Linked DNA regions of Arabidopsis thaliana. The protein of the gene in region 3 purifies or fractionates together with the protein of the main gene of each other region. This does not show direct contact. Each region holds a gene or a part of one and is shown on either strand. Other genes may lie near its edges.

The links.
Region 1: the proteins of AT3G23390 (region 3) and AT5G56710 fractionate together in Arabidopsis thaliana (co-fractionation; one large-scale study listed by BioGRID). This does not show direct contact.
Region 2: the proteins of AT3G23390 (region 3) and AT4G26230 fractionate together in Arabidopsis thaliana (co-fractionation; one large-scale study listed by BioGRID). This does not show direct contact.

What each region holds. Positions count from the first base shown.
Region 1 is NC_003076.8:22,942,319-22,947,858, forward strand, and holds AT5G56710 (Ribosomal protein L31e family protein), read right to left. Parts: upstream 2,676-5,540; 5' UTR 2,619-2,675; intron 2,489-2,618; 5' UTR 2,450-2,488; coding exon 2,370-2,449; intron 1,965-2,369; coding exon 1,685-1,964; 3' UTR 1,389-1,684; downstream 1-1,388. Other genes in the region: AT5G56700 (FBD / Leucine Rich Repeat domains containing protein), read left to right, coding at 1-511, 619-759, 845-1,060; c-NAD-MDH3 (Lactate/malate dehydrogenase family protein), read left to right, coding at 3,120-3,279, 3,442-4,400; AT5G56730 (Insulinase (Peptidase family M16) protein), read right to left, coding at 4,588-4,653, 4,739-4,936, 5,029-5,109, 5,205-5,315, 5,403-5,519.
Region 2 is NC_003075.7:13,284,211-13,289,079, forward strand, and holds AT4G26230 (Ribosomal protein L31e family protein), read left to right. Parts: upstream 1-1,526; 5' UTR 1,527-1,664; intron 1,665-1,789; 5' UTR 1,790-1,815; coding exon 1,816-1,895; intron 1,896-2,063; coding exon 2,064-2,343; 3' UTR 2,344-2,581; downstream 2,582-4,869. Other genes in the region: AT4G26220 (S-adenosyl-L-methionine-dependent methyltransferases superfamily protein), read left to right, coding at 1-19, 97-321, 428-559, 646-936; AT4G26240 (histone-lysine N-methyltransferase), read right to left, coding at 2,801-2,900, 3,004-3,054, 3,257-3,392, 3,804-3,858, 4,256-4,339, 4,425-4,486, 4,578-4,686.
Region 3 is NC_003074.8:8,372,538-8,377,740, forward strand, and holds AT3G23390 (Zinc-binding ribosomal protein family protein), read left to right. Parts: upstream 1-2,795; 5' UTR 2,796-2,889; coding exon 2,890-2,892; intron 2,893-3,109; coding exon 3,110-3,289; intron 3,290-3,467; coding exon 3,468-3,542; intron 3,543-3,627; coding exon 3,628-3,687; 3' UTR 3,688-3,899; downstream 3,900-5,203. Other genes in the region: RIC5 (ROP-interactive CRIB motif-containing protein 5), read left to right, coding at 1,410-1,467, 1,561-1,661, 1,749-2,171; FIB4 (Plastid-lipid associated protein PAP / fibrillin family protein), read right to left, coding at 4,099-4,313, 4,404-4,530, 5,019-5,203.

The DNA.
Region 1 (5,540 bases), on a different chromosome or scaffold from region 3:
TGATACGACAGCTGCTGTATCATTGCCCAGTAGTTTGTATACCTGCAAATCGCTCGTGACTTTGAAACTTTACGGTAAGAAGGTTCTTTTGGATGTTCCTCGAACGGTATTCCTCCCTTCCTTGAAAACTTTGCAACTTGAACGTTTGAGATACTCAGATGAAGATTCTCTTCGCCTGCTTCTATCCTACTGCCCTGTTCTGGAAGATCTGAGTATTGTACGAGAAGACTATGACAATTTGAGAGCGTTAGTTGTTATTGTCCCATCCTTGCAGCGTTTATCCTTAGAGATACCTGGTAATTGTTCTTCTGATGGGTATGTGATAGTTACTCCTTCTTTGAAGTATTTCAAAGTTGTGGATTATAGAGAAAGTATGTCCTATTTGATTGAGCAAATGCCAGAGCTGGAAGAGGCAGATATTGTTGTTCTGCAGTATCCCGAGAAGCTTCTCGAATCAGTTACATTTTTCAAACGCCTTTCTATACGCGTAATATTCAACACTTATACAGAGGTCATCTGCTTTCATGTCATGTTTCCTACCTCATATTTTTTACTTAAAGACACAAAATCGGATTTCTTGAGCTTGAATCCTTTTTTATTGTGTTGTCATGTGTGCAGACTGTGTATCGTGATGGAATAGTCTTCAATCGGCTTGAAAATTTGAAGCTATGTATATGCAATGGTGATTGGTCCAAGTTACTTATCCAGTTTCTCAAAGACTCACCTAACCTGCGAGTCCTCAATCTCCTCGTTGATGATGTAAGTTTCTTCGTCGACTATTTTGTAGTCTAAATTCACACTATAGTGTAGTATTCTAACCTTTACTTTTTCTTTTTAATCTTAGTATCCGTCAAGTTTGGGGGATTATGAACCGGTTCGCTGGAAAAATAATAAGAGCTCCGTCCCGAAATGTTTGTTGGAGAGTCTTGAAACTTTTGAGTTTGCAGGTTACATAGGAACACCTGAAGAGAGGGATTTCTTGAGTTATATCTTCAAACATGCTCGTTGCTTGAAATCTTCATCAATCTTAAGCAGACCAGAACGGTATCATGGAATTTGAGTTTTATGAGATATGCTTCACAATAGAAACTTGAAAATGATCTAAGAGTATGGTTTTTTGTATTTCTTCTTCGAATGTGGGAACTTGTTTTCGAACAATCTATCGTCTGGCTTTTATGTGGTAAACTACAATCTGTATGTCTCTGCCTTATGGCCTTGTAAACTACTAGTTCGGAAGCTCAGTCAAATAGTCTCATGCCTGTTTAAGAAGCTACGATTACACAGATCCGAGCATGAAAGTAGCGAAGGTGAACACAGCTGTACTTCTCAGCGCAAGACATCTTATCAACAGCTCTTGATTCAAAGTTAAACCTAGTTGATTTATTTTTTTTGTCAAAAAAAAGTAAAAAATAAAAAATAATTTGGACGACATCTAGCATAATTTTATACACAGATCATTCCTACGATCTACTTTGTGTAAATGTGAGATTCGACAATTAACAAGCATAAAGAAAATTCCAAAGCAAAACAAGAGTCAATCATGAAGAAGAAAATGGGTCTCTTCAATAAACTGCATAAGTAAATTCAAGATGCACTACAATGAAGAAAGTGAAAGGTCAAGACTTTTAATTGAAACACAGCAACAAAAGTAAAAAACCAAACAAAACTTGTTCTACTGATTCTCTTAATCCTCCTCTTCGATGACCTTTGTGCCAAGACCACTGAGTCCTTCTGCAGGGATTTCAGCAACAGTGACAAGGGAGAAGAACTCTTCCTTCGCATCTTCATCGTCGTTTCTCTTACGTGCAACACGAACCCTGATCCTCCTTGGTGGACCTCTGATTCCCTTGCTCCAGATTTGCTTGTTCAATTTCACGTCTACCCTAACGTCCTTAGTCCCCATAGCTTTCTCTGCGAACTTCCTGATTTCCTTGATGGCTTTCGGTGCCTTCTTCTTAAAGGTGCTGTTACAAACCAATAATACATAAGTAGAGATACTTAATCACATAAAACCAAACCCACCAAAAAACCACATTCCACAAACCAAACTCTAATCTTAATTCTCTTTTACAAGATATATCAAATGAACTATACCCTTTCATTTCAAGACTAATTTCGATAGTAAATCCAAAAAACAATCAGTACAAATTTTTACTTTAAGTAACAAAACACACTTGATACGATTTTTCAAAACAATAGATACCATTTCCCCATGAATTCAATAACACCATGAATTTCAAAAGATCAGATTCTCTGGACTAAACGTCTGATTACATTTAGAAAAAGATTAGCTAACTTAATTTCATTACAACCCTATGATATTAACCAACAAGCAGCTCAAAACATGAACACAAAGAGTGAAATCTTACCATTTGTGAAGGCGTCTGTGGAGGTTAATGGTGTACTCTCTGGTAATCACTTCCTCTTTCCTTCCCTTTTTCTCAGACATCTTCTCTTTCTCTGTGACTTACTTCTTCAAACTCTTTACCTGCGATTACCCATTACAAAAAACCACTTCAAAATCGATTCTTTTCACCGGAAATCAAACAGATCTGTTCAAAGCTAGGTCAAGGACACAGAATTGAGCTAGATTGAGAAAGAGAGAGAGAGAGTAGTACCTTTCGATTGAAGAACGCCGAGAGACAGAAAGGGGACGAAGGAAGAGAACTAAGCATATATATGCGGCACTTTGAGTTAACCCTAAAATAAATAAATGATTGGGCTTTAATGGGCCTATTTTTTGTGCTATTATGCTTGGCATTTCCCTCTTACGCTTTCTTATTTTAGTAGCCCATTTACGGCCCAAATACATATGAAGTAAATGTTTTACTCGAATTTAAACTGATTGGTTCGATTAATTAATCACCCATGTTAACCAACAAAAATAAAAGTTTGAGGATCTTTATTTGGCTACATTTCTTTTTATAGATTCCTTGTTTTTGTTGCATGACTTAGATTTTTTGTAAGACGAAGTTTTGTTAAGTATCAGGTTATGTCCTCTTAGAAGCTTTTCATAGATTCCTTATGTCTTCTTGATTATTTTTTTTGGTTTTATAAATTGAACTTTGGAATGCATGACATTCATTCGTTGCTTTATTATCTTTTTTACTTGGAAAACAATGGAGTTCGTTGGAGAAGAAATTAATTATACTTTTGTGATTCAGAAAGTTTTGGTTCTACTGTTTTGTGTTGGTTTGTCATGGAAAATGATAATATACATGTGTAATTTGTTAAACATTGAGAAAGATCCTATAAGGGTTTTGATTACCGGTGCAGCAGGTAAGAACTCAAACAAAAAACGATCCGGTTTATGTTTTGATTTATAATTCTATCAATTTATTTGGTTTGGTTCAGTGTTTTTTTATTGGAGTCTTTTATCTACTACTCCCTACCTTTATGGTCGTTTGTTCTTAATTTAATTGAGAACTTTCTATTGAACAGGAAACATAGGATATGCAATTGCTCCAATGATTGCAAGAGGTATTATGCTAGGTCCAGATCAACCCATGATTCTGCATTTACTTGATATAGAGCCAGCTTCAAGTTCACTAGAAGCTGTGAAAATGGAGCTTCAAGATTCAGCTTTCCCTCTTCTCAAAGGCGTTATCGCGACAACAAATGTTGTTGAAGCATGTAAAGATGTGAATATCGTGATAATGATCGGCGGATTCCCAAGGATAGCAGGCATGGAAAGAAAAGATGTGATGTCGAAAAATGTTGTGATATATAAAGCTCAAGCTTCGGCTTTAGAGCGTTATGCATCAGATGATTGCAAGGTTCTTGTTGTCGCAAACCCTGCAAACACTAATGCTCTGATCTTAAAAGAGTTTGCGCCATCAATCCCGGAAGAAAATATCACTTGCCTGACACGACTCGACCATAATCGAGCTCTAGCTCAGCTTGCAGATAAGCTAAGTGTTCCCGTGAGCAGTGTAAAGAACGTGATCGTTTGGGGTAACCATTCTTCAACTCAATATCCCGACACCAATCACGCAACAGTCTCTACAAAAACTGGAGACAGACCGTTAAAAGAACTAGTCACAGATCACAACTGGCTGAAGAACGAGTTTATCGTGGAAGTTCAGCAACGCGGTGCAGCTGTTTTAAGAGCACGGAAACAGTCGAGTGCTTTTTCCGCTGCTGGTGCAGCTTGTGACCATATCCGTGATTGGTTTCTTGGAACCCCTAAAGGAACTTGGGTTTCTATGGGTGTTTGTTCTGACGGCTCATATGGTATACCACCTGGTTTGGTTTACTCGTTTCCGGTTATCTGTGAGAAAGGGAGTTGGAAGATCGTACAAGGACTCAGTATAGACGAGTTTTCGAGGGAGAAAATGGATGACTCTGCACGAGAGCTAGCTGAAGAGAAGGATTTAGCTTATTCCTGTCTCAATGTATAGACCAAAAGTTGAAAACTATGATAGTCATGGCACAAACAATGTAGCAAACAAATAAGTTTGTGTTTCTATATTCATGAAAAATAATGGGAACTTACATAATAAACGCTGAGGTTCACAGATACATTTAAAAACTCTGAAATCTTGGGGTTAAATAATCAGAAAATTGAAAGAAAGAGAGTTCATACTTCTACTTGCGAGAGTATCTCCAGATGCCAAAAACAACAACACCCAATCCCGCAATGCCAGCCAAAATCTAGTAACCAAAGATCCAAATTCATATCTTAGTGATTGCAATGTTACATTTACGGAGACAAGACAAAGAACAGATGAACACTGACCTTGGTATCACGGATATAAGGGCCCTCGGATCGTGAACTAAAGATAGATGAAAGAAATCCAAAACGAGATCTCTGCGGCATGAGAATAACAGCAGTGTACTGTTTCTTGCACGGGTGAGGAAGGATTCGCTGTAATGCAGCTTGTGCTGTTTGTGGTGCAAGTGACTCTCTCATTCGCAAACGCCCTTCTTCTAAAATCTAAAAACCACAGAGAAGTTTCTTCCCTTTTCGTAAGACTGTGTTTATAAAAAATGATCAAAGTATTGACAAAAAATGTTTTCTAAACTGACCTTGCAAGAGGCGCCCAAATCGCCAGCGTAAACCCTTGATTGATATCCACGTATAATCCTGTCTAACCAGTAATAGTTTTCCTGACAAGAACAAAATTAAATCAGTTTTGTTTCTGCAGCAAATTATGGTTTTTTGGCTGTGATGGATTTGTGATGATTATGGCAATAAAAAATACCTGCATGCCATTTTCATGAGCTCTTTGTTCGATTTCAAGGATAGCTGAAATGTCTTCCTGTGAAGGGCCTTCCTTTTGAAGCCGTACAATTTCTTCTAAAGCTAAATCAACCTGAAGGACACAGAGGTGGCTTTGGTGACCAACAGGCAGCCAAAGATATAGAGAAACCCGTCAGATAGTGTTAGAAGATGGACATACCAGTTTAGAGGAGATTTCTGGATCACATGAAAAATTAACACTGATGTCACCACGTAAATCCGCAGTTCTAGAAGGTTTATTCCCGCCAAGAAACACAGAGACTTCAGCAGAATAAATCTGTTTAATAGGAAAGTAAGG
Region 2 (4,869 bases), on a different chromosome or scaffold from region 3:
AAGTGAAGAGCTCTATAAAGTTTGTCCTTACATACTCATCTCTACGTTAGTTCACTTCTCCATTTCTCTGATACATTTCTGTGAAAAATGTTGTAGTATATACTGGAGACTAGTGTGTACCCACGCGAGCCAGAGGTTCTCAGGGAGCTTAGGAACATTACTCATAACCACCCTCAAGCTGGTATGGCTACTGCACCAGACGCTGGCCAGTTGATGGGGATGCTGCTGAATCTGGTAAATGCAAGAAAGACTATCGAGGTTGGGGTTTTCACTGGATACTCTCTTCTCCTCACTGCTCTTACGCTACCAGAAGATGGCAAGGTATTTGCATAGATATGACCAAACCAAAAGAAAAAGTGTCATGATGTTTTTCGTTGTTTTGCTTCTGTATCATTTCTGCAACTGATTTGGTACACGAGCTCTGCAGGTTATCGCCATTGACATGAATAGAGACTCGTATGAAATAGGATTGCCGGTTATAAAGAAAGCTGGTGTTGAACACAAAATTGATTTCAAAGAGTCTGAAGCTCTTCCAGCCCTCGACGAGCTTTTAAACAATGTACAACTTCATACTTCTTTGTCTTTCAAAAAAAGAATTAGTATGTATCCTGAGATGGTCTTTTTGTTTTGATGTTTGTGATGCAGAAAGTGAATGAGGGTGGATTCGACTTCGCATTTGTGGATGCAGACAAGCTGAATTATTGGAACTATCATGAGAGGCTTATTAGATTGATCAAGGTTGGTGGGATCATAGTGTATGATAACACTCTCTGGGGAGGATCAGTTGCTGAACCGGACTCGTCCACGCCCGAGTGGAGGATAGAAGTCAAGAAAGCAACCCTCGAGCTGAACAAGAAACTCTCGGCTGATCAGCGTGTGCAGATCTCGCAAGCTGCGCTTGGCGATGGTATCACTATTTGCAGGAGGTTATATTGAGCGAGTATTGTTGTTCTTTGTGATCTTTAGGGTCATATGATTGTGAGCCCTTTATATTGAGCTATTGTGATGCAAGAGTGTTATTGTTCTATGTGATATTTTGGTTCCTGTGTGAATGTGAACCTTTTCTATCAAGTTTGTGGATTTCTTCAAATTTCAAGATTATAACAGACAGTTACGAAGAAACACAACTCATTTTATGTTTTGTGTCTTTTGGCAAAACTCCAAATTCTGAACATTGCTCTAAAATCTAATATAAAAAGTAAAAAAATGAATGGGGCGTTCCGAGAATCGAACTCGGGACCTCTCGCACCCAAAGCGAGAATCATACCACTAGACCAAACGCCCACATTGATATATAGTTTGCTAGCTTTTAATACAATGTATATTAAATAATTTAGTTTTGTGATATAAACAGTAAACAGAACAAGATATTTTCACCCAAAGTTAAAAAATCCAACGTTTGTTCAAAAATAAGAAAAAAACTATCCAAAGTTAAATTATCAAATGTTAAAAATCGTTAGACGTTAATCACAATATAAAGGAACTCTTTTTTTTTTTTTTGAGTTAAGAAACACTTAGTTGGGCCATAAAAATATAGGTCTAGTAGATGAAAGGCCCATAAAATCAACTAGGGTTAGTTCTTCTTCTTATAGAGCGCCGCATATAAGCTTCATCCTTCTCCGTCACCACCGGCTCTGTATTTCGGCATTTGTGGAGAGAAGAAGGTACTCTCATCCCTTTCTCTTTCTTATCTTAATCTCCTTTTTTAAAATTTGTGACAAAGTAAAATGAGCTAATCTCGTCTTTAAGATCATATGTCAAAACTGAATTTGAGTTTTGATATATTCAGGTAAAGAGAGAAGATAGAAACATAAAATGTCGGAGAAGAAGGGAAGGAAAGAGGAGGTGGTGACCAGAGAGTACACCATCAACCTTCACAGACGCCTTCATAGCTGGTAATTTCCAAAACACCAAAAACACTTTTGTCTTATTGCTTCAAAGCTTTTACTGTTAGATAGTGGAATTGGAATGTTGATAATGAGCTCTTAGCTAATGTTTTAATTCGATTGCTCTCTATGGATTGTGACATTGAAATGTTTGATCTTCTTTGTGTGTAAAACTAGTACCTTTAAGAAGAAGGCTCCAAAGGCGATCAAGGAGATAAGGAAGTTTGCTGAGAAGGAAATGGGGACAAAGGATGTGAGAGTGGATGTTAAATTGAACAAGCAGATTTGGAGCAAAGGTATCAGAGGTCCTCCGAGGAGAATCAGAGTCCGAGTTGCTCGTAAGAGAAATGATGATGAAGATGCAAAGGAAGAGTTCTTCTCTCTTGTCACTGTTGCTGAAATCCCTGCTGAAGGACTCTCTGGCCTCGGCACTAAGATCATTGAAGAAGAGGATTAAACTATCTTATAGTAACAACAACATTTGATCAGATTTTTCGAGTTTTGTTTTTCGAATCTTTATTGGAGAGAACATTTATCTTCTTGAATCCTTAAGCCTTGAATCATAGTATGCGATTGAGACAGAATCTCAGTCTTGTGTCGTAAGTAGTCTTCAACAATCCTTACACTTGTTTCGGTAAAGTTTGAGCATCTGGTTCGATCATGATAATATCTGCAGCTATGAATAAGTTTATGCACCTCTCTCAAGTGAATTGCTTGAATAAATCAAGAGTATTACATGTATGAACTGGAATCTAGTTCGAGTCAATCATGAGTTTTTAAACAAAACGAACTTCAGAGTTTCGTATCTATTTACAACAACAGAAGAATGTTCTTTAGGGGATAATAGAGTCAAAACTTGCACTCTTGCTATCACAAATTCACTCTGACGAGGTTTGAAAGTAGCTATTATCTCTCTACCGTGCTTTATATGCATACATATAGTTCCTCAGTTTTTTCACTTCCTCAGATGACTCCTCTAGAAGATGGTCCACGTATAGACAAATTCCAGCTCCACTGCAATTTCGAAGTACAGAAAAGTTGATGCAAACTTTAGTTTTACATACACAGGGGCATATAAAACAACACAAGGTTATATCTAAGCGATAGATACACATACCAAAGCGGCCCAAACGGAAGCCAGATAGCATCCCACCGGAATTTCGGAAGCCTAGAACACGGGTGAGATTTATAAGCATAAATTTACAAAGAGCACGAATGGAAGGAATAGACAAGAAATGTCCTTCATGTTGAATACAGCATAAACGACTAACACAAGGATTCATGCCACTAACAATGGCATTATAATAATGAAAGTTTGCGAAGTGCAAGATTGTATCGAAAAGAAAAGAAATGTATACTCTCTAGTGTACCTCAGCAAGTAATAAAGCCAAAAGATGGTCAATGCAGATCCAACAACACAAGAGTACCAGAACCATCGTCTATGATCATTCTTCTTATCTCGTAGCCCGACAATGGAGAGGGAGCAAGCCATGATAGCGATCCACTCTGATCCAAAAATCCAGTGATAAAAGATTTATTGTTCTAGTAATCAAATAACATGCGAAGCCAAAAATGAATTGAAGATAAAGCAACAAAGTCTTCTGAAGGCAGTAAGGTTTCAGTATGACCATAATTTGTTTTATCTTACTGTACTAGCAAAGACGCAATTTGACTTCCCTCAGGTCGAAAACACTCAAAATGCAATCACTCTTTCTAATTCTACACTAATCCACTAACAGATATGCTCTTAGATTCATATGCATATAACATATCTGTTTTTTCCCATGTTGTTACAGGATATTACACAGAAACTTCCACACAAGCTCAGAATTGGCTGTACCACCATATCGAATGGCAAGAGAAATCTAATAAACCGTGACTACAAAGTAAAAAAAATCACATAGATGTAAGACAAACCAGCTGAAATGACCATCCATGACTTGAGATCTTCCATAAAGTAGGCATGATACCGCTGCTCAAAAAAAATGGCATCCATAAGAACCCATGGAATATAGAACGTAGATAACGTGACATTTGTGTATGTATGTATAAGTGCTTGCAACTCCATACGCAGGCAGAATTAGTGTATCATACAAAGATTGCAAGTGTATTAGCTCACAATAGTCAGCAAGAAACTCAAAGCTCTAAATCCGTAATCTATCGTTAAAAAACAAAATCAATTTTAAACTGAACTCTTAAGTTTTAATCCAACTTTGTCTTCTAAGATCAAAATCGCTGCAACTGAAGACAAGTGATCTGATCTGAATTTTAACTTTGAATTCAATTCAACTTAAGCAACAAAACTAGTCAATCAAATGGAATTGCTAGAAGGACGAACAAGGCCACACTTAAGGAGAGATTATCAGTACCAGTTCCCATGGTGACATGAACTGCTGGAAAATGGAGTAGAAGAGGAAAGCTCCAAAGCAGATCAGAAGAACCACAAACACGCTCTACACAAAAGATAAACACAAACTTACTTAAGAAACAGAACTCCTCAAAATTTTGCAGAAATTGAATATTGTTCTTAGATCATACCCTCCATTGAAGACTTTGCTGAGCATGAGCTTCCTCAAGATACCGAACGTACTCCTCCTGCTCTGTAAAACGACAGTGATAGCAATAAACTATTACGAACTTGCTTTTACAAATCTGCCAAAAATTCCAGAGGATGAGAGAAACAAAATAAACCTTGCGTATCAATAGGCCGAGAATCGACGTCTTCAGAAGTAGGAAGGACGAACTTATCATCATCTTCGTCACGACGAGTTCTCCGCCATTTTCTCGCTAACTTCTTCATTTGATTTTTCTTCAGATTGCAGAAGTAGAAGATGGAGAAATTAGGAAAACTTCAATGAGCATCATCGTTTCTTCAACGAAAGTGTCTCCAGCCAAAACGCCTTTAAGCTACGGCCTATTAAGAAGCCCAGCCCATAGTTTAGCAAGATTGATTCGGTTTCTTATCTCCGGCTTGGTTTGCTGT
Region 3 (5,203 bases):
TAACTATTTCTGGAAAGGAAATCTGTCTTTGTAAAATAATTAAATATATATTATAATAAACTTTTAAAGAAAATCAGATTCCTTTAAGAAAAATTTAAGAATTTAACTCAAAAGTTTAATGTGCTTTGTGTGTTTATTGATACACATCATGGATACTCAATTACTGTTAGACACAATTGCAATAATTGCGATTCTTTAAACCATACATGGAGAAGAAGAAGTCCTATATATAATAAATGAATGTTATAAGAAGAGAGATAGCTAGGCAGGAATCTTTGGACATATAATAGACTTCAAACTCAATTTCTAACCAAAAAACGAGATCTCTTTAAGTTATTTTACAATGGAATTGTGGATCAACATCTTATTAGGCATTGGCATTGCACTGGTCCTCGGGGTGATTGTGTTTAGTTTCCTTAAGTTGCTCGGCGTTAAGTTCTCCAAGGAAAAAACGACACCAACCGATGTGTGAAGCAAAACATCTTATTTGGGAAGTTGTTGACTACAATAAAAACTAGTCCTGCAAATTATGTAGATATAATCATATAATTTATAATTAAGAAATAAAGTAAATTACCCAACTATATATTTAAGATATATATACATTATACATAGTGGTTACTGTATATGCAAACTATTTTGCTCAATAAGATGATTAGAGATTTACTTTTGGCTTTCCCTAAACAAAAAAACCGTATATCCCGCGTTTGCCAGAAAAAAAACGACTCAAAATCAGCTTAAAATAGAATTGAAGAAATTGCATTGAAACCACCAAATAAGGGAAAATCTTCTGGCTATCCTTTGACTTCCAACTTCTACATCCAATAATCATCCGCCACGTAGCTTTTATGCATATGTAAAAAAGAAATAGGCAAGAAAAAAAGAGAGCCTTTGTGATCGAACAAAGAGGACAACATTTGAGATTTCTTTCTTCTTACGTTACCTCTCTCTTAAACAAAACAAGAAACAAGATAACAACACAAATAAGTTTGAGAAAAAAACTTTTTGATTTGAAGATAGTAACATTTTGTGTAGTTTTCTTAACCAGGTATCATTTTCTTCTTCTCCAAACAGAAATAGATGTGTGTGTTTTTTATCTTATCGTTTGTTTATATATTCCTCTCAAATTTGCAGAAACTCATAGCTCTTGGACATCTATATGAATCTATTTCTTTGTTAAATAGGGTTTTATCTACTCCACAAACATGTAAGTTCTTTTTTATTTTTCTTAAGATTCTTATCGCAATAGGATTCACGCAAAAACAATTTAATTCTTTGGCCAATCTATGCATTACCGAAAGTTGTATCCCTAAGAGAAGAAGAATCTCAAAGAAAAAATATTAATTTATGAAAAAATGTTTATTTTTTTTCCTTGGTGTGCAAGCTAGGTATGCATCTGCAAGTTGAATATGACCTCACCTATGAAGGGTCTATTAAAAGGTTTGAGGTACATTGCTCGTATCTTCGGTGAGTTTATTTGTTCTCGAAACAAAGATCATATATGTCTATACAATTACCAAAAATCAGATTCTTAAATCTTATAAAAAAAAATTGTTGTAGAGGATGAGAAGGAACCAGAGATGCAGATTGGAATACCAACCGATGTCAAACATGTTGCTCATATAGGATGGGAAGGGCCCTCAGCTACCACCCCAAGCTGGGTATATCCTTCTCTCAATATTTTTATAACATATTCTACATATCTTTTGTTTGTGGATTAGGTCAAATATTTTCATGGGAATATGCAGATGCATGATTTCAAGCCTACCGATCAAACGAAGACTGAGACGAAAGGAACATCTAACAAAAAACCTGGGAGTTCCGGGGAGAAACATAGGAAGGGAAGACGTAAAACATCAACAGGAAACAACTCACCTACAGAATCTCCATCAAGGGTAGGAGGATCAGTAAGGCCATCAAAACGCAACACGGGGAAACAAAGAGAGCAGAACACGGGTTCAGGGTCAGAGTCAGGTTCAGGATTAGAGTTACCTCAACAGACTGATCAGTTTGTTGTACCAAAACAATCAAAGCAAAAAAAGTCAAAAGGATCAGCAACAGGAGGAGGCGAACCTCCTCCATCTAATGAACCATCAAACAAGAAAGAAACAGATATATCTGTGAGAGCGGTTTACCCTTGTGCGGGTCTTGGAAGTTCTACAGGAAGATGAAAGATGAGGAACAAAGAAAGAGAGTGTTATATTTTCAAGATTAGACTAGAGTGTGGTGGTGGTGGTGGTATTGTTTCTTCTCATGATTGATCTACACACTTTAGTCTTTTCTCTCCCTTTTGTTGGAAATGCCTTTGCATTACAAGACCAATGTTTTATATCGCGTCGAGAAAAGAGAACCCTTTGATGATTGTGAACCAGGGATGTGAAATATATGCTTGCTTAACACTCTTAAATTATTCTCAAGGAATCTTTCGATTGTGTTCTTAGGATTCAATTAGTAATAGACTTGAGTGTGTTTGACATATCTATTGGGCTTCGATTGTTTGTTGCGTTTACATGTTATAATAGGTTTTTATTTCTTGGTTCAAACGAAACCAAAACTTAAAAGTAAATCATTTTTTTCTACTGAATTTTGTTTTTGATGCTTTTGATTTCATTTGATCACTTCAACTTTAGTTCCAGGGTCTTGACGATTTAATTCAAAAAGCAAAAAAATCAATAGGAAACAAAAACTCATAAAGGACTTTGACATACAGATGGGCCCATTGTTTATGACCAATCCTTATACTATATATGGGCCTTATTAGTTAAACCTAAGGCCCAAAGTCAGATTAGGGTTTTCAGAAAGTGTACTATAAATTCTTCTTCTTTAAACAACTTCGTCTAGTGGAACGACGACGGCACAAAAGCTTCACCGGAGATCAGAGACGCGAAAATGGTAAATTGTTTCTTCTCTTTCGATGTGATTTTGGAATTTGTAAAGTTCGTTGACTTTGAAGAACAACAATACATGGTTGATTGATTTATTGTATTGTTTTTCAGATCTATCATAAAAGTTTTCAATCTAAATGATGTTTGTATTTTGATTAACCTTAAAAGTCTCTTGATTTTGTATGTGTGTGAGTGATTCATTTTTGATTTTATGAATTTTGAAGGTGAACATTCCAAAGACAAAGAACACTTACTGTAAGAACAAGGAATGCAAAAAGCATACTTTGCACAAGGTTACCCAATACAAGAAGGGTAAAGACAGTCTTGCTGCTCAAGGAAAGCGTCGTTATGACCGTAAACAATCTGGTTATGGTGGTCAGACTAAGCCTGTCTTCCACAAAAAGGTAACATTGATTATCATGCATTGATTGTTTTTTCAGTTTGAATTAGGTCTAGTTAGTTGAAATGAGGTAGTTTTAAGGAACCATTTATAGTAGAATTTTGGAAGTGAGCTGTGAGGAAACAGACATTCCAATAGTCTCAGTTTTGGACTGAGATACATCTTGTGAATCTTGTTAACAGGCTAAGACCACGAAGAAGATTGTTTTGAGGCTTCAGTGTCAAAGCTGCAAGCACTTTTCGCAGCGTCCTATCAAGGTGCATAGAACATAGATCAGTTCATTATACCGGATTTGTAACTTGGTAATTTGCTTACATTGTGTTGGTTTGTTGTTTATTTCAGAGGTGCAAGCATTTCGAGATCGGTGGTGACAAGAAGGGAAAGGGAACATCTCTGTTTTAAGTTGGTTTCATCTTATTTTCTGCGATTTTTGTACTTGCTGGATTTGGAATCCATTTGTTTTAGCTCTCTCGTATAAGATTGTCTCATCTTTGCTTGTTAACTCTATATTTTGAATCATCAAGATATGGTTTTGCTGTTAATCATTGACCTTCGATATTTTTTTGCCAATCCGTTCTCTCTACCAACCTAAGAAAAAATCACTAATATCTCACATTAGAGGGTGCAAAATTTGGAAGGTCTATATCATTGTCCAATTTTCTGAGTCATACAAATTCTTTCATATGATTCATTGAACAAGACACTCATTTACTTATAAAGCGCATTTATATGTTCACATGATTTGTACAAAACTCATGAGACTGCATCAAGCAGAAAGTATTTATTTATCTTTACATGTCAAAGCTTTGAGAATTAAGCAATGACGAATACCCTAAGTTCACCTCTGTCCCCGCGAGTTATGCGCATGGTATCATCAACATAGGTAACTTCGAAATCCCCAGTTCCAGGGTTTGACGATGGTCTGAAACTGTCGGGAAGCCTCGGGATATCAAACGGAGGAATCTGCGACAAGTTTCCCGATGTCTTCACAGTTGTTTTCTCAAATGTTATCTTGATCTTGCAAGTGCCTGTTTTCCCCATAAATGTCAAAGATACAGATAAGTTATTTTGCTCTTACACAATTCGATAAACTTAATGAGAGAAAGGGAAATGCAAACCTAAGAGTTCAAACTTGTGTGCCAATGTCGCAGTGGCTTCTAATGGCGGAAATGGCCAAGGGGCTCCTAATTCCACCTCTGCTATGTTATCAAAATCTTTGCTAAACACATCAATCCGTTGAAACACCTGTTTTAATGATTCAGAAACAAGAGATAATATTAAAGAAGTTTGCTTTCTACCGATTCAGGTATGGTTCTTTGCCAAATTTAAACCAAAGAAAGCTAGATTCTAAGCTCATCACCATTCAAACTCAACCAAGAATAAAGATGATTGACTAAGACCGTACACATAAACTTGGCAATATAGAAAAAAATGATTAAGGAGTAGATGACATTGCTAGATTCTAAGCTCCTCACCATTCAAGCTCAACAAAGACTACCAATGATAGACCAGACCGTACACATAAACTTGACAATATAGAAAAAAGTTTGCTTTCGAGTATAAGATGACATTACCAAATTGTAACCTCAGAAAGCTAGATTCTTAGCTCAGCCCCATTCAAACTCAAGCAAGACTATTGATGATAGACTAGACCATGCACATAAACTCCTCAACAACTTACCCGAAAAACCGAATCTTGACGGGTAAAAACAGAGCAATGATTCAAGAATTACCTGGCCAAGAGTAACAGGGATCAAACGTCCAGTAGGTAGACCAGGACGGCTACCACCTAAAGACCGAGAAGAGAACGCACTACTATACAACAGCCTCCATTTCCCTTGAAGCTTATCAAGATCATCGGTTAAATCAACCGGTCCCCCAGCAGTTTCAAGTTCTTTAGCAGCCACTTCAGCTCTTT